3 linked regions of the Arabidopsis thaliana genome follow. The protein of the gene in region 3 interacts with the protein of the main gene of each other region in a pairwise test. Each region holds a gene or a part of one and is shown on either strand. Other genes may lie near its edges.

Evidence for each region.
Region 1: the proteins of CPK7 (region 3) and UMAMIT42 interact in a protein complementation assay, tested with the Arabidopsis thaliana proteins (one large-scale study listed by BioGRID).
Region 2: the proteins of CPK7 (region 3) and AT4G38520 interact in a protein complementation assay, tested with the Arabidopsis thaliana proteins (one large-scale study listed by BioGRID).

The regions. Positions count from the first base shown.
Region 1 is NC_003076.8:16,071,547-16,079,413, forward strand, and holds UMAMIT42 (nodulin MtN21 /EamA-like transporter family protein), read right to left. Parts: upstream 4,676-7,867; 5' UTR 4,543-4,675; coding exon 4,349-4,542; intron 4,270-4,348; coding exon 4,204-4,269; intron 4,014-4,203; coding exon 3,900-4,013; intron 3,118-3,899; coding exon 2,925-3,117; intron 2,819-2,924; coding exon 2,657-2,818; intron 2,557-2,656; coding exon 2,408-2,556; intron 2,321-2,407; coding exon 2,179-2,320; 3' UTR 1,988-2,178; downstream 1-1,987. Other genes in the region: DEG9 (DegP protease 9), read left to right, coding at 51-231, 309-500, 619-851, 949-1,050, 1,133-1,183, 1,259-1,363, 1,445-1,555; AGL43 (AGAMOUS-like 43), read right to left, coding at 6,844-7,818.
Region 2 is NC_003075.7:18,016,254-18,024,120, forward strand, and holds the start of AT4G38520 (Protein phosphatase 2C family protein), read right to left. Parts: upstream 2,248-7,867; 5' UTR 1,695-2,247; exon of another isoform or gene 1,430-1,694; 5' UTR 1,262-1,429; coding exon 943-1,261; intron 803-942; coding exon 435-802; intron 345-434; coding exon 108-344; intron 25-107; coding exon 1-24. Other genes in the region: PLC1 (phospholipase C1), read left to right, coding at 4,455-4,763, 4,849-5,045, 5,131-5,266, 5,352-5,740, 5,839-5,956, 6,025-6,255, 6,331-6,645; AT4G38540 (FAD/NAD(P)-binding oxidoreductase family protein), read left to right, coding at 6,934-7,013, 7,082-7,228, 7,309-7,371, 7,460-7,622, 7,703-7,867. UniProt on the Arabidopsis thaliana protein: Dephosphorylates and represses plasma membrane H(+)-ATPases (PM H(+)-ATPases, e.g. AHA1 and AHA2), thus influencing negatively plant growth and fitness.
Region 3 is NC_003076.8:4,046,871-4,054,737, forward strand, and holds CPK7 (calmodulin-domain protein kinase 7), read right to left. Parts: upstream 3,774-7,867; 5' UTR 3,478-3,773; intron 3,186-3,477; 5' UTR 3,166-3,185; coding exon 2,650-3,165; intron 2,559-2,649; coding exon 2,435-2,558; intron 2,344-2,434; coding exon 2,200-2,343; intron 2,107-2,199; coding exon 1,954-2,106; intron 1,883-1,953; coding exon 1,767-1,882; intron 1,671-1,766; coding exon 1,503-1,670; intron 1,414-1,502; coding exon 1,180-1,413; intron 1,100-1,179; coding exon 947-1,099; 3' UTR 643-946; downstream 1-642. Other genes in the region: AT5G12470 (UvrABC system C protein, putative (DUF3411)), read right to left, coding at 1-420; NF-YA1 (nuclear factor Y, subunit A1), read right to left, coding at 4,277-4,480, 4,662-4,826, 5,138-5,209, 5,361-5,461, 5,815-6,091. UniProt on the Arabidopsis thaliana protein: May play a role in signal transduction pathways that involve calcium as a second messenger.

The sequences.
Region 1 (7,867 bases), about 12 Mb from region 3:
TAGGGAGTTAAGGGCACTTATAAAAATGTTTTCTGTTTTTGTCTTTTCAGATTGATGCAGCTATTAATTCTGGGAATTCTGGTGGTCCTGCATTTAATGATAAAGGAAAATGTGTTGGTATTGCATTTCAGTCTTTGAAACACGAAGATGCTGAGAATATTGGTTATGTCATTCCCACACCGGTGATTGTACATTTCATTCAAGATTATGAGAAGCATGATAAATACACAGGTAAGTTTCACCGATGATTAATGTTGTTTGTTATCTATCTCTACATGTGCTTTTTTCTCATACTTGAACTGTTTTAGGGTTTCCTGTTCTCGGAATTGAGTGGCAAAAGATGGAAAATCCTGATTTGCGGAAGTCAATGGGTATGGAATCTCATCAAAAGGGAGTGCGGATTAGAAGAATTGAGCCAACCGCCCCAGAATCACAAGTTTTGAAGCCGTCTGATATTATCCTTAGTTTTGATGGAGTTAATATCGCTAATGATGGGACTGGTAATAATTCTTTCAATAACTTATTAGCAATCATTAATGGGACCAATGAGTGTAGTTATTTCTGGTTAAGTCTAGACAATCCTTAATAACATTTCTGTTCATGTTTGTGTTTTTGCAGTTCCATTTAGGCATGGAGAACGAATTGGCTTTAGCTACCTTATATCCCAAAAGTACACTGGAGATTCTGCTCTCGTGAAGGTTCTACGAAACAAAGAAATATTAGAGTTCAACATAAAACTTGCAATCCACAAGAGGCTAATCCCTGCTCACATAAGTGGCAAACCTCCTTCGTACTTCATCGTTGCTGGCTTTGTATTTACAACTGTCTCTGTTCCATATCTTCGATCTGAGGTCCTTTACTGTCTCTCTATCTTTCCTTACTTTCTCGCTTTCTCTCATGCATCCATTCACAGTTTATATAACTATTTCCCATTGATATGTTTTGCAGTATGGAAAAGAATATGAATTTGACGCACCTGTCAAGCTATTGGAGAAACATCTTCATGCAATGGCTCAATCCGTGGACGAGCAGCTTGTTGTAGTTTCACAGGTTGGTTTCTCCTGTTTCACACGTTAATGCAGTCATAATTATTTTGGTGTCGAAGCCTCAACACCCATATTTTAACTTGCAGGTTCTTGTTTCTGACATTAACATTGGTTATGAAGAGATTGTCAACACCCAGGTTTGTTAAATTGCATTTATCATTTGTCACTTTATTGAAGCATCTGTCACGCTAAATGTTCAAATCGCCGTGTAGGTTGTCGCCTTTAATGGCAAACCTGTGAAAAACTTGAAAGGTTTAGCTGGGATGGTGGAGAATTGTGAGGATGAATATATGAAGTTTAATCTGGATTATGATCAGGTATGTTATTTTCTCATCTTCCTTAACTTTTATACAAACTTATAAACAATTTTTAGCTAAAATTCTTTGGTGTTTCTACAGATTGTTGTTCTGGACACTAAGACAGCAAAGGAAGCAACATTAGATATTCTGACCACACATTGCATACCTTCTGCTATGTCTGATGATCTCAAGACTGAAGAAAGAAACTGAAACAGAAGGAACCATAACCAGAAGGAGAGAAAGAGAGATTTTTGTCCATGGAAGGACATAAAAGCAAATACAGTCATGGAAAGACAAAGAGAAGCTCAAACCATAATTTGATTTTTCTTGATTCTGTTTTGTATTTGGAAAAATATGCAAGAAGAAATACATTGGTTATTTTTTCTCTCATTTATTTTCTTTGAAGTTTGAACTTGGTAGAACAATCATATATATCCACACAAAAAAAGTATGCAAAAAGAAAGTGAAATGGATGAGATATAATCATAGGTTCTTCTACCAAATACTTCACTTTCCATTCATCTATATGTCCCAAGTAAAATAGTGGGATTCGTAGCGCTTTGACATTAAGAAACCCTAGTCTGGTTTAGCTACCTGAACCGATTTTGAAAACTAAGATCGAACCAATTCAGTGAAATCACCATACCATGGTCCAAGGATCACAAAACACCAATTTTATTAACAAACACTAATATGTGTGTCTCTGGTTTTTGTCTACGCCTTTTTTTAATGAGTTTTGGACTATTGGTCGAACTATATTATAAAATGGATGACACACATAAATAGTATTAATCTGTCAGAAATCACTCATGAAAAACTAAAGTGAATATTGATTAGCTTTTAAAATTATCCAAGAGAGGAGCATTATGTGAAGGAGAGGACTCTATTGCTCCTATTATGTCAACTTTGTCTTCCTTGGCTTTACCCCACAACACCATGTAAAATCCTATTGATATCAATATTCCTCCCATCACACTGTACTCAAACATATAGAGGAGGATTGAGAAATGACATTTACATAGTGAATTTAAAATCATGAGAAGCAACAGTTTTGTGGTATACCTTCCAAGGTAGAGCGACTCGCCGAGGAAAATGAAAGTTGATACGGCTGCTATCAATATAGATAACGGTTTGAACATAGACAAATACACAGGTCCCTTGTGACTCACTGCCCACGTATGTATAACATAATATCCCGAATTCAAAATCCCCTATGAAAAATGTATATTCCATAAATCATCAAAGACCAAGAAAAACGAATAAATGAACAAACATATGAAACCAAAGTTATAAATATAATGTCATGAGTACCGTTGCTACTACGGTAATTAAGGTTATGTCGAATCTTATGACCCATGCCTTCGGATTGTCCTTCTCTGCCAAAAGGCTCACAAATGCACACACAACAGCTATGCAAACATTGTGCACAAGCGTCACAACGACGGCAGATGGATATCGACCCATTGTGTGAGCCTATAAATAGCCGAGTTTTGAGTTACCATATATTAATATAATATAACTAAGACAACTATACTATTTCAATGACATTTTGGATATAACATTATCTAGTAAGGTATACCATAACAAGGTAAGAGACGGAGACAAGGATGTATTGGAGAGCAAGAAGGCCACCACCGATGATCCAATCCGAATGTGAAGACATTAGCATTGGACCGTGGTAGAGAGTAACCACAAGTGCACCTATTATTGACAATATTGTTCCCAACACTTTGGCTACACTACTCTTTTTCCCTAGAGATATATTTTCCATTCTTCATAAAAAAAAAGTGCAAGTGAGTAAAATATAAAAAGTATTCTTTCTGTTCCTTTTTAATTGATTTTTTAAACAAAATACACAGATTAATAAAAATATATTAAAACTGAATATAAATGTATTTATGAAGGCCAAACAAAATTTTATAAACCACACCAAAATTTTTTATAAACTATTATGGATTTGTTTATCCTTCTTTCCTACCTAAACTCGAGAGTCAGCTCTCATATCTTATTATAAACTATTGATATATTTTCGTTATATATAATTTATACTGATATATTTTATAGTTTTCAAGAAATTTTCGGAAAAACATTACCTTGCACACGTTTTCAGTGATGCTTTTCCATACACGTTTTAATTTTATTTTTTCTTTTGTTGACTTTTCAGACAAACGTTTTCAATAATATTAAAATGGGACAAATTTTCATGCTGTTATATTATAAAATTAATCTAAAAAACATATTTCGTGGACTTAGCGCGAGTCTTCCGGCGAGAAACGAGCTACTAGTGAAACGATGATTGAAGAAATTATGATTATATATGTGACATTAACTAAAACGATAGAGATCTTTTTCTTTTTTAATTTCCATCAACCATGGAGAGATTTATTTTTCCTTTTTGTCAACAACAACATCGTTGGATTTCTTAAAGCATAAAAAATCTTATAACGTAAAGCAAAGAAAATTAAAAAGCTAAAATGGCTACGACTTTTTACAAGAAACAAAAAAATGATTACGACTAATTAATGATTTGAAATATTTGGGAAATAGAATTTACCGAAAAACAACGGCGAGGATGAAGGTAAAAGCAGGATTGACATTGCTCATGGCCGAAGATAAAGTCGGCGAGCTATATTTTATCCCATTGTAGCCTAAGATTTGAAACGCACTTCTGTTCTTTTTATGAAGTACAAATACAACAAATTTAAGTAAGAAATTTCTTCCATAAAACAATTTTTTTTGAATACACACTTATATGCAATTCAAGAACCAACTAATAATTGGTTTTGAAACCTAGCTAGGAAGATATATGCATTGCAAATGCTACTAGATATAGTGTTTCCAAAATAAAAGTAACTTACGCAATTAGACCAAGAATCCCCATGTTGCATAGAATTGAAAATGTCAACGGAGGGAGAGATCTTGATCTGTAGAGATAAGTCTATGTAAGAAAAATTACTTAATACTTAACATAAAACTTGAAACAGAATCGTGAGAATGAAGAACCTGAAGGAGAAGAATGTAAGAGGAAGAAGAAGAAGAGATCCAAAAGTGTAAGAGTATACAAGAACCACAAATGGGCTAAGTCCTTTGGACGTCGCTGCTTTGACCAGAGTGTTTACTCCTACGTTAGAAAACTCTGTCACCACCATCGCCGTCAAGATCCAGCCATCTCTGTTACATAACCTTCCATGAACCATTTTTTAGTTCTTGGCTTCTTCTTTCTTCTAAGCCTCTGTCTCTCTGAAATTTGTATATATTATTAGTTCATGGGATCTTGATGGGAAAAGACATGTGAAACAGTCTCCATCAAATAAATGATTAATTGTTGTCTTCTTATTGGTTGAAAAAACATTTATTTGTTGGGTATGAAATGTATGTGGTCTCTGAAAAATTGTAATTAAATGGATTCCTACACATGTTGTGGCTAGATTAAAACACACGTTTCATATTTCATTTTTACATACAAAAAGTTATTGACAAACAAATTATAGATGGATGTATATATCCTCATCAAACATCATCAAATAATTACAAAACGTATAAACATGTGACATCTATATAGATAGATAGATAGACAAGATAAACCAGGACCATCTTCAAATGGGTACAAAACCAATAGATGAATCCAAGAAATTAGAAGAGAAGCTAAAACTAAATTCTTATTTACCCTGGCTCTGTATAAACAGGGACCAACCATCTTCTAATGGGTCCAAAAGTAAGTAATTAAAGGATTTCACTTGCATCTAACATATCTTCATGGTAAGGTTTCATTTTCTTTTGTTGTGTTTAGGCAACAAAAGTGACTGCTGTGAAAGACTTGCTATTTTGGCTGCATCTTCTCTTGCTTTGCCCCAAATCACAGTATAAAACCCAAAGCTCAATATCATTGATCCAATCACACTGTCCACAACACAGAGATGCAACATAGTAACATGAAGATCATGAGACTAAACATTTCAACAACCTATAACTAAGATAACTAAGTTTATATCACTTATGTTTCTCAAGAAAGAGACGCTATAGTTGAAAGATATGGCACATCCAAAGGTGAAGTGCATCGCCAAGGAATATAGCACCCATGACGACTGCAACTGCTATAAACAACGGCTTGAATAAGGATACATACACTGGACCATTCAGGTGGAGACCCCATGTGTGTATAACCGAGCACAATGATGAATCAAATACTCCCTGAAACAGAGTGGTAGTTTCTGAGCTTAAAGATAAGAGTCAGTAGTTGAAGCAGGTTATAAAAGGTTTGACTTTAACCGAGTATATGACTGCAGCGAGGAAATATCCGGTTTAAGCTGCCAAGAGGTCAAGTCTTTTTCTGCAAACTGGTGGTGAAATTAGCATTCCACATAAGTTGTAGAAGAAGACTACAGTTATTTCTTCAGGGTAGATCTCCATGACCTGACTCTGAAATCATGTACAGCTGCCAAATTTAGCTTAAGTTTATGTGTAACCAACAAAACCCAAAATCTCATTCATGAATCAGTTCCAAGTATATGTACCTGAAGAATATACCAGACTGAAACAAGCAAATACTGTGAAGTGATCAAAAGGCCTCCAATTATCCAACTTGACTCGAATGAAGTAAAAGATGCAGCATCAAGAACTTTTCGGCCTTTATAGAGAACAACAACCAGAGCAGCAGATATCGATACTATCTTGCCAATGATCTAAGCCAGATTTGCAGAGCTTCTTAGTGTTACTTGTTCCATCCTTTATAAGTCACCAGATAAAAAAATTGATAGTCACAAAAAATCCTCATATCCATCAGAAGTTTCTCGGGAAAGAATGATAGGCTAACATGTTGATATCACCGCAAGGTTGTACTAGTACAACCACAATTAGTGGCATGAGAATGTTTCTGCATTTTGGTATTGTTTCATATTTGACAGTTACTGTCTGTGTTCTGATATTGTTTCATATTTGATTGTTACTGTTTCAGAAACATATATTTTGTATGGTTAACGTGGAACCACTCGGTTGTTCATTTTCTACAAACAGAGAGGAAAGAAACAAGGTGGAACCTGAAGAAGACGGCAAGTATGAAGGTGGAAGATGGTGTGAGGTTGCTGATAGCAGAGGTAAGAGTTGGGGAACTATATTCAATAGCTTTACAACCAGCTACCTGTATGGAAAGTGAAAGTGCATGTACTGCTTCATACTATCCAACTAATAACCATAAAAAAGCTGGAGATAATTCAGATTATTATAACATATAACTGGTGTTTCCCAATGGAACACATATGCTTAGTTCTACTTATACAACTAACACACACATACACAGTTATTGCTCTGTTGAGAGTCTCTATTGGAAATTTGAGTTTATTATGCATAAGAGAGAAATCAGAAATAGATCATAAGACTGGCTTTTAGTAATTAATGTTTCTAGGGATGATGATTCAAAATTTATTACAATATTAGCTGAATACAGAACAACAACACACCTAAGAACAAGACATTAGACACACAGAATTAATCATAAGAAATTAACAAAAGTCTGCATAACCGTAACCATAAAGTTCATTCTGCATCAACTGATTCAACCAGGGGTTATTCACAGATTCTTCTACCGCCGAGTAATGTTGTGTGCTTGAGACGCAAGGATGTTCACAGCTGTTGCTATTGATGTTACCCACAGACATGTTATGATCACAACCATAAAACTCCTTGTGCATCAACCCAAAGTTGTTCACAGATTCTTGTACTGAGACGCAAGGAAGTTGAAAATTGTTGTTGGTGATGTTACCCATCCACATGTTCTGATTCTGATCATTACCACAAATCTCCTGCTTCATTAACTGATTCTTCAACTCAGATTGTTCAAGTAACGCTGAGAAATAATCCTGATTGAAATTTGATGCAGAGACTGGGATCTGAGACAGAGTATTGTCTCCATGATTATACATAAACAGCGAGAACTGGCTAGGGTTCAAAGATTGGGTCTGATGATTCAGAGAGGATGATGCTAAACTGTGGTGATCCGGTTGTGTCTCATTCTGTTTCCGCGACTCAAGAAATTCAAGCCTTTCGTGGAATTTAGAGACATGGAGTTCCAAGGACTGAATCAGTGGAGAAACTTGGTCGGGAGGGTAATGATCAGCGAGTGGATACTTTAAAACATTCACCTTCTTAAGACTCGTCTTCCTCTTCTTGTCCGTATTCTTCAAACCCTTGTTCTTCTTCTTCTTGTTCAGGAACCCATGAAGATTAACGCTTTTCTTGCGTCTCAATGCTTCGTTTAATTGACTATACCTAAGAGCAATGTCTCTCACTTTCTCTCGCTCCGGAGGCCATGTCTTGAGTTCTCCGTCTGGTCCGTAATAGATGACGCAGGCTTCAATATCACAGAGAGTGCAAAGCTCTGAAGCTTTCTTGAAGATGGTCTCAAGTCTGTTGCTCAAACTTGTTGAAGCGAGTGAATAAGCGGAAGAGGAAGAAGGTAAAGATGATCGCATAGTCATTATTGTTGATTTCGAAGACAAACTTTCTGTTTCAGAGTGAAGAGAAAAC
Region 2 (7,867 bases), on a different chromosome or scaffold from region 3:
TTTCACCAGCCGCTTTGCTATCCCCTGCCATTAAAGAGTCCTTATTATTATGTGCATTCTTTATATATAGTCTAGTAGTACAAACAGAGTGGGGTGTGTGTTCTCACGTTTCGCGGATGATTCTGGACTATGTCTACTGCTTCTTGGTTGCTCATATGTTCCCACAGTCCATCTGATGCACATATAATGAACTGATCGTGCGGCTCCAGTGTATGCACCGTGATCGCCGGCTCTGCACTCAGTAATGGCTTGCTGAACGGTGACCTCAGCCGGAATTTTGCATACAGTGGTTCCCTGTTGAACTCTGACCTTTTCAAATACACATCACCAATGGATCTTGAAACCTGAGTATAGTCATAAAGCCACTCAGAAAGACAACAGGAATTGTAAGACATACAAAAACAGATTTAGTCCAACTCTAGTTTATTAAATACCTGAATGATGCCTTTTACTCGCCAGACGTTATGTTTCAGAACCACAATATCTGGATGATCCGGATGCAGGGCCTGAAGTTCCCGTCTCACTGACTCTATAGATGCGTTGTGCTCTGCTGAGAGCTGAGTGGCATGAGCTTCACCTGTTACCCTCATGACTTGTCCCAGAACGGCCCGTGAGTCCCCTGCGTTGGCCACGTATAGCTTCCCATCGCAGATGACACTTACAAGACAGCATGATCCCACTGTGGCTATCTGAGGTCTAGTTTGAAATTGATTTGTAACTATGGATAAGAAGCCTTCTTCAGTGGCTTGGAACGCTTTTTTTATCACCTCTGATGACATACACTGTTGCTCTGCAGTAAACCCTGTGCATAACATAAAAGATGAGAGATCAAAACTAGAACCATTTTCTGGACTAGTGCTGCTATTAGAGAAATGCTTCTATATTTCCTTTCTAGATTAGCTAATCCAAACAAGAGTTAAAAGCATAGGTTGAGCGACTCACTCTTGAGGTGGTGGAACATATGATCATTGATGAAGCGAGATGTCTCAGGCCCACCGTGGCCGTCGTAGACGCCAACAAAGGTGCCAAAGGGACCAGAGTCGTGGGAGCTAAGAGAGCCAGACTCGAGCTGGCTCTGGTCCTCTAGCAAGCTGTTGGCTTGAACGACGGCCATGGAGAAGTCACCAAAGACGTGCTGGCCGGAGTCTCTGAACCAGAGCAAACCCTCTTGGCGGCCACCAGAATCTGAGGCAGAACGAGCCTGCTGATCTGACCGTGGCCAGAGACAGGCATTCAGAAAATTCATCAACCCAGATAGCATCCCTCATCTCATCCGCCACAACATAGAACTTGTCCGTTTTTAAGATAGCACAAATCACAGCTCTCTGAAATCTGCAATGCCAAAAGTAGTTCTTCACAGGAACGGCGCAAGTTTCACACAGCTTAAAAGAGTGCTCTTCTTCAAGACCTGAATGAACTCAAAGACAATCTAAAGAGCAAAAAAGTGAGAAAACTCAATTGTTATGAGTGGCAATAGAAATGAATCTGTAGGAGATTATAGTGAGACTGATTAGTCTAGTGATTGAACAATCTAAGAAACTTGATGCAACATTGAAAAGTTAACATCTTTAAGTAAGGAAACCATCGGAAGAAAGCAAAATTAGTGATGCGGCAAGCAAGAAAAAAAAACAAAAGGATTTATGCGGCAGATTCCAACTGGTTCGTATTCGCTACCAAAAAAAAGGAAACTTTACCTTGCAAGATGTTGGAAGCAACTCAAGTTGAGCAAGAAAATGAATGAAGAGAAGGATCTCAAGAGGACGGAGGAGATGTGGGCGTGGAATTTCAGAGCTTGTAGATCTACTACGACTACGGATGGATCAACCAAACACAAAATTTATACTTTTATATAAAAATGAACACCGATTTTTATTATTATTAAATTAAATATAAGCGAGCGGATGAGGAAGAAGAAGACCAATTGACAAAAAAAAAAACTTTTTAAGAAGAAAAAAAAATGGTTATCCCCTCAGAAACTAATGATCTTTCTTTCAATGTCTGGAAACAGTGAACAATGAAGGTAAAAGAGAGAGAGAGAGAGAGGTCAAGTCGCCGAACGAGACATCCTCCTTCGACGTTTTTATGTAAAAAAAAGAAAGAAAGTTGGAGTTGTTTTTTTTATCTTCTCTCTTTATCTCTCTCTATAGTCTTAAGACTAAGAGTGATTCTTACCAGACAAGACCCATAAAAGACCAACGATGGCGAGGTCGGAGCCAGCACATCAAAGGTCCCAGCTTTCGGGCTCCACTTCCCTCTCGTCCTTTTTTGCCTCATTAGATGGACAACACCAAACAGTGGCAAAGAATAATATTACAGTTTTTTTAGGGAAGAAAATAAAATAGTTGATATTATTGATATAATAATTCATTCAAGTCTCCTCTTTATTTTAAAAATATTCAACTCTTTTACTTTAGACATTATCATAAACTGGGGTCAAACGGAAGATTTTTCTTCAACGTTTAATAAAATCTCTTAACACAAATCAAAGAAGAGTAAAAATATACGGTTTCGATAAAATTTGGTTATGTGGCGGTGTTACATGACTACGACTGATAAAACTACACGAGTACTTTTGTTTTTCTGTCACCAAGATTTATTTCTTTTACTTACTCCATGTGTTTTTTTCTTTCTTCGTTAAAACTACTCCTCGTAAATTATAATCAAGATTTTAAGCAGTGTGCATATAAAATAAAATACATGTACAGTCTAGAAATAATATATGTGGATTCATGAATCTTTCATTTTTAATTTCCCCACACAATTTGTATCAAACGTTTAATGCCCATAAAAGTGGTGGTCCAGGACCCTGAGATTAAAATTTTAAAAAAATATATAGAGAAGAGGCTTGGGCTTGAAGAATGAAAAATTGAATAACAAATATTTAAAAAAATTTGGGACCCGAAAGTGATTGGGATAAAGTGAGATATGTCACTTTACCTAACATTATTTAATTTTATATTAATGTATGTACCACTAAATTTGGCCCTTTTCTCCCCATCGACTCTTTGTAGTTATTTATACTTTTGTAGTACCAATAATAGAAGAATCAACTATAAAAATTTCAGCTCAATAAAGAAAAACAGAACTATGAATTAAGTGAGAAACTCAAAAGCCTGCTTCTAAAACATGAATACGTCCACGATAATTATCACTAAGTTCTAGATAATCTAATTTTGCGGGACCAAATTGATGTATATGCGAACTTTTTCATACTTTTTTCACCAACAAATGTATATACTTCCCATCATGCATGCTCCCATGGTATCTCGCCGAGTGTCAATATATGTGAACTTACATAACCAAAAATTGATTTATAAAGATAACAATAATAAGGGAGACCTAAAAATAGAGAAAAGGGTGGTGTGGACTGTGGAGAAGGTCCCTACTTACAGAACATAGCTTCCATCAATCACACAAAAATCCAACCACTCTGAACCTTTCACTTCAGGACCAACTTCGTTATCCAATCATCTCCCAATATGCCAATACTTTCACTTATATATGAACGTGTATATATAAACCCTTCACATTTACTTCACAAAAATATCTTTTAAAAAAAGATCATAATCACAACTACTAAGCTAGAATTTTTTAGTAAATTTACTACTACGGTAATTATAAACAAATTATATAGGTTTCTTAAATAGTAGAACTTAAAATATAATGCAAAGTTATGTACGAATACTATCTTTTAATTAAAAATAACGATAAGAATGTTAAAAAAGAAAAAAAAAAAATCATGTTGATGATATATATGTTGAAGTAAAATTTAGTTATTAGGTTTAGGTATACGTCAATCATTCATGATACATGGATCCCAAACCCATAATATATCATGCATCGATCTCTGAAAATCACCAAAGCAAAAAAAACCCATGTAACATGATATACTATATTATGCATCATTTCGCCAATGTAACTTCTCTGATGCCCTGAACCTATTTCACATATGACTCATGGGAAAGACCGACAAAGGGATCGTATTACCCAAATATGGTTACGATAACATCCACTGAATATCACTCAAAATGAATTATTGTCTCTTACTAGATATATTACGGCTAGTTGATGATTTGTTTGAAAAGTTTAATCTTACAAAATTATTAATAGATTTGATGCTGCTCAAAGTGGTCTCTTTTATTTGCACCGCAAAAAGCCAGTATATATCCCCATTAGAAAAGACGTGACAAAGTGTTTAATAGATCCTTTATGTTTTCCTCGGACCCATGCATATATAAGTGTATTTAAATCTTTTATAAGGTTTTTATAGCCATAAATAAACAAATTTAGTTCAAAATAAGAATAATTAAGTAATTGGAATAGCGAGACACGTTCCTTGAGATGATAACACGAGCATATATTCTTCATCACTTTTGTTTGCTTCATATCATATACGCTAACTTATGTGTGTGTGTAATATATGATCTCAGAACTAACAAGTAAGAAGAAGAAGAATGTCGGAGAGTTTCAAAGTGTGCTTCTGTTGCAGCAGAAGCTTTAAGGAGAAAACGAGGCAGCCACCAGTGAGCATCAAGAGACTCTTCGAAGCTTACTCAAGAAACGGCAAGATGTCTTTCGATGAGCTTCTAAGATTTGTGAGTGAAGTCCAAGGAGAACGGCACGCAGGGTTGGACTACGTGCAAGATATCTTCCACAGCGTTAAACACCACAACGTTTTTCATCACCATGGACTTGTTCATCTCAACGCCTTCTATCGCTACCTCTTCAGCGATACCAACTCTCCTCTTCCCATGTCTGGCCAGGTATCTAAGTTTGGAAACTTTTTATGGATTTATTTCACAAATGGTTTTGTAATTGGGTATATTATATGTTCTTGGTTGGGTTAAGGTGCATCATGACATGAAGGCGCCGTTATCGCATTACTTTGTGTACACGGGACATAACTCTTACTTGACTGGGAACCAAGTGAACAGCAGAAGCAGCGTAGAACCGATCGTGCAGGCTCTCAGAAAAGGCGTAAAAGTGATCGAGCTCGACTTATGGCCTAATCCTTCAGGGAACGCTGCTGAAGTTCGTCATGGCAGGTTGGTCCCACTAACGAAGTCTTATAATCAACAAACAGACTCCAAAAAATGTCACACACTATATGTGTTTTGGTTCTCTCATCAGGACGCTTACTTCGCATGAAGATTTGCAGAAATGTCTAACCGCCATTAAGGATAACGCGTTTCATGTGTCTGACTATCCAGTCATCATCACTCTCGAAGATCATTTGCCACCCAAGCTTCAAGCGCAAGTTGCTAAGGTAAGTTGGTTTTGCAGAAACAGAGTATATATTTCGTTCTCTGAAAAAGAGTGATTTACAAATTTGATTGATTCTATGTTTGTAGATGTTAACTAAAACATACAGAGGGATGCTGTTTCGTCGTGTCTCAGAGAGTTTTAAGCATTTTCCATCACCAGAAGAACTTAAGGGGAAGATCCTGATCTCTACGAAGCCTCCAAAGGAGTATCTTGAGAGCAAAACTGTACACACCACAAGAACTCCAACGGTTAAAGAGACTTCGTGGAACAGAGTAGCGAACAAGATTCTTGAAGAATATAAAGATATGGAGAGTGAAGCTGTAGGATATAGAGACTTGATAGCAATCCACGCTGCAAACTGCAAAGATCCTTCAAAGGATTGCTTGAGTGATGATCCAGAGAAGCCTATACGGGTCAGCATGGACGAGCAGTGGCTAGACACTATGGTTAGGACCAGAGGAACGGATCTTGTCAGGTAAAATATAGAGTGAGAGGAGTCATAATGTTGAACCTTTTTCGACTCAAGAGTTATAAGATGAACCTGAGTCAGAGTTTGAAAAAAAACAAAAACAGGTTTACACAGAGGAATCTGGTGAGGATATATCCAAAGGGCACAAGAGTGGACTCGTCAAACTACGATCCTCATGTTGGGTGGACACACGGTGCTCAAATGGTTGCTTTTAACATGCAAGTAAGTGGAACTGGCTCATCATCGTTTGACTTGTTAAAAAATGGTTGAATAATATTTGTGTTGAAAAGGGACATGGGAAGCAACTATGGATAATGCAAGGAATGTTCAGGGGGAATGGTGGATGTGGGTACGTTAAAAAGCCTCGCATCTTGCTAGACGAGCACACACTCTTCGACCCTTGCAAAAGGTTTCCCATTAAGACCACTCTTAAGGTTAAGATTTACACTGGCGAAGGATGGGATTTGGATTTCCATCATACACACTTTGATCAATACTCTCCTCCAGATTTCTTCGTCAAGGTAAACAACAACTACTACTCTTCTTTTAAACTAGATTTCTTCGTAACTGTGTGTGTGTTGCATTTGCTGCATCAGATTGGAATAGCAGGAGTACCGAGAGACACGGTCTCATACAGAACGGAAACAGCTGTCGATCAGTGGTTTCCTATATGGGGCAACGACGAGTTCCTGTTTCAGCTGTCTGTTCCAGAACTGGCGCTTCTGTGGTTCAAAGTCCAAGACTACGACAATGACACCCAGAATGATTTCGCAGGACAGACATGTCTTCCTCTGCCGGAACTGAAGTCCGGAGTTAGAGCCGTCCGGCTTCACGATCGAACAGGCAAGGCCTACAAGAACACGAGGCTTCTCGTCAGCTTCGCCTTGGATCCTCCTTATACGTTTCGTTGAATCTCGTTTTCTTTCCGAAATAAGCCACACAGTGTGTATCTCTGTTTGCACGTTTATAAATTTATAATGTACAATTATTTGCGCCCTAGCTAGAACGGGATAAAGTGTGACAACATATAAATACTATTAAAGATTCGATATTTGATGACTGTAGCCGCCTGCCTAGAACGGGGTGCCTTGTTTGACTTGCCAACTTCAACCACATTTCTTTTTGTTTACTTGAAAGTTAAAAATAAATACTAGAGAGGAAGAAAAACAGAGCTTTCTTTCTAAGATCATCAACGCACCATGGAAGAAGAAGGCAGCCCAGATATCATCATCGTTGGCGCCGGTATCTCCGGCCTTTCCACCGCTGTTGGACTACACAGGTGTGTGTGGCGTGCCTTTTGAGTTGTTATTAAGCAGAGTAAGTTAACTAAAGTGGTGTGTGTCACAGGCTTGGGATCAGAAGCATGGTGCTGGAATCTTCGGAGACACTGAGAGCGACAGGATTTGCATTTACCACTTGGTTCAATGCTTGGAAGGCCATGGAAGCTCTCGGCGTTTCTCAGCATATTCGCAGTCTCCATGATCGCCTTGAAGGGTATCAAACTAACACTATTATTACTATTCATATATAATCAGCTCAGTAAAAAAGGGGACTCATCTTTGATTTTGCTGCAGATGGGTGGTTGGAACAATTTCTGCAGGAACTCCTCCCACAGAGATGCTGTTTCCAGAATCCGAGTATGTTTCTTCTTCTCTGCACAGAGCATATGAATGTTAAAACAATAAATAAGATAACTTCAATAATATTGTTGAATGATTTTGTCAGAGAATATGAGTCTCGATGCGTACAGAGGAAGCTGTTGTTAGAGGCTCTAGCAGGTGAGTTGCCTGAAGAGACCATCAGGTTTTCGTCTAAGGTTGTTCATATTGAATTGTCTGGATGCTACAAGAAGGTTCATCTCTCCGACGGGACCATTCTCAAAACCAAGGTAAATAACTACTTGTCCTCTGTAAACCATGTGAGGCCTGGTCTTGCTACGGAATTGTAGGGTTTCTAAACGAAATGCAGGTTTTGGTAGGGTGCGATGGAGTGTACTCAGTGGTTGGTAAGTGGCTAGGCTTCAAAAATCCCGCTACAACTGCCCGGTTAGCAATCCGAGGGCTCACACATTTTCCGGAAGGCCATGGATTTGGGAAAAGGTTCTTCCAGTTTTATGGAGACGGCGTTCGTTCC
Region 3 (7,867 bases):
GAACCGAGTGATAACCGATCCAGGAATCCGACCCGCCTCAATAGCAGCCGCTAGATCTTTGGGAAGACTCTCCAATTCAATCCCAGACTCCTTCAACAAAAGCATCGCCTCGTTCCTGTTCCTATCCCTGTCCTCGTCACCGTGTCCATCTCCATCATTCTTACCTCCATCGCCACCACCACCACCACCACTAAGACCTCCTCCGTTGTTATCAGAGCCGCCGTTACCACTTGAAGCGGATAAAACAGGGGTAATAGGTACACGGCGGTTAAAAGAGATTGACTTTGCAGAGATTACACCGTTAAAAGAGGAAGATGAAGAGAGTCTAGGAAACGAAGCGATGTGAGGCCATGTCAGATTGGATTCAGAGATAGCTGTGTTCGGTGTTGGAACACAGAAGAAGCAGGAAGCGATTGCCATTGATGCTACAGACAGCGAGAAACGAAAAAGAGATCTTTGAAACTGGAACTGAAACTGAAAGTCGTCTGGTTCAGTCTCTCTCTCTGTAGGTAGAGGCGGACGATTGAGAGAAGTGGAGAGTCAGCGAAAAAGAAGAATCTTTCTTTCGGAGTTTTAAGGGTTTTTTCTTATTTTATATATCTGGTGGACCTCACTATCGAGAGAATCCAACTGGCGCGTGTCTTTCACGAAGCATCTTACACCATCTTATAAATATATGAATTACAATCACAAAACTCGTATCTTTGGAATCTCAGAAACTTGTTCGACATCATCATCAATCACATCGCTGTCCATTGAAGAACTTTTCAAACAAATTGAAAGCCCTAAACAAAACCTACGACCACGACCAATCTTTCTATCATTACCGTGTTAAATGCTTATAGAACATAATAGTTATTTCTTTTTGACAATGCTGACGCTTCTTTCTTCTTCTTCTTCTGCTGCTGCTTTTTCAAAAAGATTCAAACTTTTGTCTCTTGCTTTCTTAGGTCTCGCCTTCTAATTGCAATGAACCATCTCTCATTAACTTGAGGCTTAAACTGTTGAATCTTTCCCGAGAATACTGTCTTGACGCTTTTCTCCAATCTGTCCCAGCTTTCATCATCGCAACAAACTCTTCATAGCTTATTCGTCCATCCTGATCACACGAAACAAGATATCAAAATGAGTGGAGAAGTCAAGAATGTCGCGCGTTTGAAAAGATTCAGACAGCTTTACCTTGTCGGTATCAACATCTTGCATGATGGCTGCGATTACTTCCTCACTGCTAGTATTATCCAATTCATCATTCAAGGCTTCACGAAGTTCGTCAATCTCTATGTAACCACTCTGGTTCTGATCAAAGAAGTTAAAAGCTTTATGCAAGTGTTCATCATTCGCCATCTTCTTAAGGTGGACTGAAACAGCAACAAACTCGCTATAGTTCAGTGTCCCATCCCCATCAACATCAGTCTGCAGGAAACAAAAAAAAAGAGTTTTAATTTTCAGAAGTGATATAGCACTTGTTTCGAGCTAATCGCTCTGAAATGAAAGATTCATACAGCTTCCATAAGAATTTGAAGATCAGTATCAGCTATCTGTTGTCCAGCTTTTTGAAGTCCATATTTAAGCTCCTCGAGATTTATCTTGCCTCTCTTGTTTACGTCCATCATTTCAAATGCTTCCTTTATCCCTGCTGCTTCCTCCACTGACAAATGTTCAGCTATCACCTAGAAGGACGAAACAAATTTACATTTTCATTTTTGATTCTGAATCAGACTGGAAGCAAATCGATAATCAGTGACATGGTTTAACAGAATCAATACTCGTAGAGCTCGTTTCTTGAGCTTGTTCATAACAGAAAACTGCTTTAGTCTTGCTTTCACAGTCTCCCCAAGAGAGACATTTGGAGCCTTCTTTGCATTCAGTATCCAAGTATGTTCTGCAAATGGAATATTTATTTATGAGTTTACGATTTCAGAAAGCTCAGCCTTGCTGAAAACAGAAGCCTACCGAGAACTTGTGCAGCAGTAAGCCGTTTTTTGGGATCAGGTTCAAGCATCTTTCTCACAAGGTCTTTGGCGCTGTCAGAAACTCTTGGCCATGGATCTCTCTTAAAGTCAATAACTGATCTAATGATCGCTTGAGCCACCCCTTGCTCAGTCTCTGTACCCAAAAGAAAGATAAAAACGTCTGAAAGAGGTCTTAAAGTGAATAAGCCAGAGGAAACAAAGAGAATGCGGTAAAGCATAAACAAACCTGCCCAAAATGGCGGAACACCACAAAGTAGGATATAGAGGATAACTCCAGCGCTCCACACATCGATCTCAGGACCATAGTTTCGCCGCAGCACCTCGGGTGCCATGTAATAAGGACTTCCAACAATCTCATTAAACTGCTCACCTGTTACAGTTTAGAAAATTCAGCTCAAGTAAAGATACACTAATAAATGTGCTCCATTGATACTCATCAAAAGCTGATGTTGTAAATGTACCAGGTTTGAAGAATACAGATAATCCAAAATCAATGGCCTTAAGGGCTGATGTCTCTTTCTTATTTGCAAAAAGAAAGTTCTCTGGTTTGAGATCCCGATGCATCACTCCTTGCTTATGGCATATCTGTAAAGACAAACCAGCGATGTGTGAACATAAAACACAGACAAAAGGAATTGGGGACTTCAGACATTGTAAACACAGCTATATATGGAACCTGAACAACTTCAACAATAGTCTTCATAACCGCAGCAGCAGCCCGCTCAGTGTAATGACCTCTTGCAACAATCCGATCAAACAGTTCCCCTCCTTCACACAACTCCATAACTATATGCACCGCATCATCATCCTCAAAGGAATCCTTCAAAGAGACGACATTTGGGTGTTTAGGCATATGCTTCATAATCTCAACCTCCCTCCTAACATCCTCTATATCAACTGCTGTTCTCAGCTTCTTCTTAGATATGGACTTGCAGGCATACTTCTCACCAGTTTCCTTATCAGTACACAAGTAAGTTATACCAAACTCGCCTCGACCAACCTCACGTCCAAGATCATACTGCAAGGATATATCATGTCCTGTAGGATCTTTCAGCACAGAGAGCTTAAAACCAGCTCCAGATCTATCTGTTGTAGCGTATTCATTGCTGTAAAAAGGATTGTTTTTGTTCTTGGGTTTCCCTTGTTTACTCTGGTTCGTAGCCGAACTCGGATTGCCACAACAATTCCCCATCTAATCAAATCTCAAGGTTCCTGAAAAACCCAGAAAGATTAAAACTTTGAGCACTGTTCTTCAAGGTTCCATTAGTAACTTAAGCCAATAACTATTTCTAATTAACAACATATCCTAAATCAAACAGAACCCTAATCTAATATACTCAAACCAGATTAGTAAACCCTAGCTAAGATCAAAGACAAGGGAAAGAGGGAAAACACAGACCTCAGAACTTATAATGGGTAGAAACATTTAAATGGGTATAAATCAGTTGAAGCAAAAGAAGATATGTAGCTAAAAAGGATAAATTAAAGAGAAAAGTCATCATACGCTGTGAGGAAAAACAAATGCAGTGATAGAGAGAGAAGAAGAGAGGAAGAAGACGAGTCAAAGTCTTCCTCTTTCTCTCTCTTCTTCAAATGACAAAACACACAAATTGACTCTCTTCTTCTTCTTCTTCTTCTTGCTTGCGGGGATTCAAAGAATGACAACTCTTAATTTTTTATGTGTTTCCATATTCTCTTTCATATGCTCTTCGTGTTTTTTGTTGATATAAATAATCGATCTGCCCGTTGTAGATTTAACAACTTCTTTTTTTTCACTGTCCTTTTCAAATCTGGTTTATATGCAAACTTGAAACTTCCATGAGCAAACTATGCAACTTATTGCAAGCTGTTTTTTTTTTCTTTGCAAAACATAATGTTTAATAGGTTTCTTCTACTTTCTAATCACTCTCCTCCGGTCAAATAATGTTTAAGTTGGCGAAAACAGAGAATTTGACTACAAATCTGAAGCATTGTTATAGCCTTGTTAACACTTTGTGGTCAGAAAGGCAAACGATTAAGCAAACGTATTTTTCAATTTTGCAAAAGAGAAAAAAAAGGTCAAAGAATAAAAACAAGACCTACTTGCTATTCCTTAGTCTCTTGTCTCCAAAATCTAACACCTAACATAACTCGCTCTTTGTACATTCATCATAACTGTTAAACCCACACAATATGAGACTCTGACAAGAACAACTAGCAAACACAAAAACGAAAAAGCCAAGAATGATTTGCCGGTTTGAGGCAATGATTATATTAGCCAAAGTGTGTGTCTCTCTCTCCTCTCAGAGCTTTGGCTTTTTTTATTATGGTGCACCAGAAGAATTCAGGGTCTCATTAGAGTCTGTCTCAACTTGTTCAGAGCCTGATGAGTTGGTTGCTGAACCCCTTTCTCTGTCTCTCCCTCCTGCATCCTCTCCCGCTTCTACCTCACTTTTCTTCGCAAACCGGCCTCCACTCGCTCGTGCCCTTCTCATTGCATGCTTGTGTCTTGACTCGTGAAGATATGGCTGTCGCATTTCAAACATAGTCAATACAAGTTTACCGAGCGACAAACCAAACTTGCAAATTCTTAATGCTCATTATCAATCCTTCATATAGCATGGGTCCACTTCTATTATGGACTCTACACCATCCTTAGATTACCAGGACACCAATCAAGTACAATTTTCATAAATGAGAAAAAAATACCTTTCTGTCCCGGATGACTTTCCTCTCTAGCTCTGCCTTGGCACGTGCTTTTCTTCGCCTTAGAATTCCCTCGTACTGCTTTGCATTCACATAAACGGGCTCTTGTGCCATGTCAAGTGGCAGAGCTGTTCTTTCACGAGGCATTCCAAGATATGGACGAAAACCCTGTTTAAACCAATGAACAAAATAAATGCAACAAATAGACTCAGATCATCGAAAACTTTACATATAACTTATAAGACCCCAAGAATCCCCATTAGTTGTTCTCGATAATTTCAGATATAACTTTGGATTCTCAGTTATTTCAGAAATGAACTTTAAAAGCATCTCACTGACTATTGCTGAACCCAGACACATTCCAACAGTAAATAAAATCACCACAAACGGGTACTTAGTGGCAAAAGCGCACATACATCAAATAAACACTGCACCATATGGAACTATTGTAGAGATTGAAAGAGGTTTCGACAAGATACCAATTGCTGATGACCATATGCTCCCATCAATCCCCCATAATATGGATCCTGATATGGGTTTGGGACACAAGCCTGTAAGGAAGTTTTGAGTTTATCATACATATGAAAAGGGCGTTATACAAGATAAATCCTTTTGAGGGACCAATAAGAAGTCAATTTAACAGCTCAAGAACTCATAAAGCATATATATATATATATTAAGGAATGAGAGGAAACCACATACGATATAGTGTCCAACAAGCTCTGGTGGTTGTACAAGTGGCTGATCATGCATGTTACGGATAGAGAGCGCTGGGTCATTTCCTTCCATTCCGTGATTATCTACTGAAGTTGAAGAAAGACACCATTACAAACAAAATAAAGAAATCACAATGCACATATCAACGAGACAGAATCTCCTTGGCATGGATAGAACTATGAAACCCTACAATTACAATGCAAGTATATTTCAAGGACCAGATTCATGAACTTGACACGCCCTATAGTGCCGAATCACACAAATGCCCATTTAATTTCCCTGCCTGCTTGAGGAACAACTCTTCACCAAGTTGCAACATTCCGAACGTGGAACAACATCACTTTCGACAGTGATCACTAGGTCATCCAGTAAAACAGTACTGCAGAAATGATGAATATGAACAATACACCAAGTAGGCCTAAAGACCAAGAACTCAAACCTGAACGAGAGGAAGTTGCAGCTTGTGAATCCTTCCAAGTGCCATCGTTTTCACCATTCAACGCACCGTCTTCAGATGCTGAATGAACATCGTTTGACTCGGAACCATTGGGGCAATCCAAAGAAGAGGAATTTGATGGAATTCCAGAAGGTCTCGCTTGAGGTACAACACCAAAGGAGTTGTTTTTCCACCAGGGCTCTGCATACATCATCGGCTGCTGAACAGCATGGTGATTATTGACTTCCTCTTCGTTTTCTCTTCCCGGTTTTGATTGCATCTCTACATAATCAAGTCAACACATGTTCAGTAACCAATTCAAAATCCAATCAAAAAAAAAAATTCATCACTAAAACCGTGAAAAAGATACAGACTCCAACTACAAAAAAAAGAGAGCAATTTTAGGGCTATGAAGCAATGCAGAAGCATGCAAAAATATGAGAAAGCACCAAAATCTCACATGTCTCGAATTTACACTCTAAACCTACATAAGCTCGTAATATTCAAGAGATTCTTTAGCCACCTGCATCAATTTTTTCAATCCCTTCACGAATTCTAGCAAACAAAATTTCAAAAACAGAAAAAATTGAACATACCAGTGGAAATTCACAGCAGAGCACTCTTTTGCAATCGCCTTCGAAGAAGATTAACTTCTTTCAGAAATCAAAAAACCCTGAGGTGAATTTAATCGATCACGATTTTGCAGAGTTTAAAGAGAAGAAAAAATTGACCTTGAAAAAAAATCAGAATCGAACAGAACCAGAGAAGAAGTTGGTGAAGGAGAATCGATTCAGAAAACCCGACAGCCGGCAGGAATGGAGAATTTCGTAGAAGAAAAGTGAAATTGGGCGAGAAGAAAACCCTAGATTTTGGGGATTTTTCTTTTTTGCCAGAATTGTGGTTTTTGATATTAAGTAATTTATTGAAAAATCGAAATAGAGTAAGTTATATGATGATGATGAATTTACACAAAAGACCGAGATTTGATAAGATCACTTACGAAAGTGAAAAATCTTTTTGCCACGTGGCGCTCTATGAAAGATGCCAGCGCGCGCAGATCTGGGATCTTCTCCGGCTGACGTTATCATAGGTTCATTTTTAATTTGTTTTGTTTTTTCTTATATACTAGAAAGAAATTAAATTTCTTTTAAAAAACAGGAGAAATTTGGGTCCAAGTGACACGCAAGTGATGGGCTGGGACGAGGGACACCTGTAAAATGTGGGGACCCTATTGGCAAAAACAATTAAAAGATTTTTTTTTGTTAAAGAAATAAGTTAATTAGTTCAATATTTGTAATTTCTTTCTTTCACAAAATAATATAAAGTGTTTTCCCTTCATGAAAAAAATATAGTTGTTTTAAGAAAATAATAATAATAATACAACTGAAAAAAATATTTTCCATAAATAATTGTAGGTAAAAAAAAAAACTATGAAAAGTTTATTAAAATCATATTAAATGGTTACAAAAGGTAAAATACGTTCGAAGTTTAGTAATTTGGTGTTATTACGGAGATTAAAGGATCCATAACACATAACATTTATATGAGTTTTGGCCAGATCGTCTTTGTGAACAATAATTGATTTATTTGTTGGAATACTAAACCGAATTGAGAAATTTCGCTGTGCATTTCTCACTATAACACTTGATGTTGATATCATCATTGATTATGTATTGTTTCAGGGGAACAGATGGTAATTATATTTTCTCTAGTGAAGTGTTTGTTGTGAGAGCGAAATTAATTAATCGGTCATGGACAAGGGGATACACAAATATGATATGGAAAATGACAAAGCATAATATATAGCATATGACTCAGACACTCAGACACTCAGACACTCAACCACCGAACGTTAGCCATTAAAAAAAGGCGAAAATGATGAATCATACGCAATATTTATATTTAGAAAGAAGGTGGGGAGAAAATAGAGACACTAACTCTTGTTATGCTTTTAAAATATCTTGTTATTTTGAATACTAACATATATTAAGTGGAAACCATTTGATTATATATGTGTAATGGTCTACATTTGTGTTTGAAGTGTTATGGTGAACAA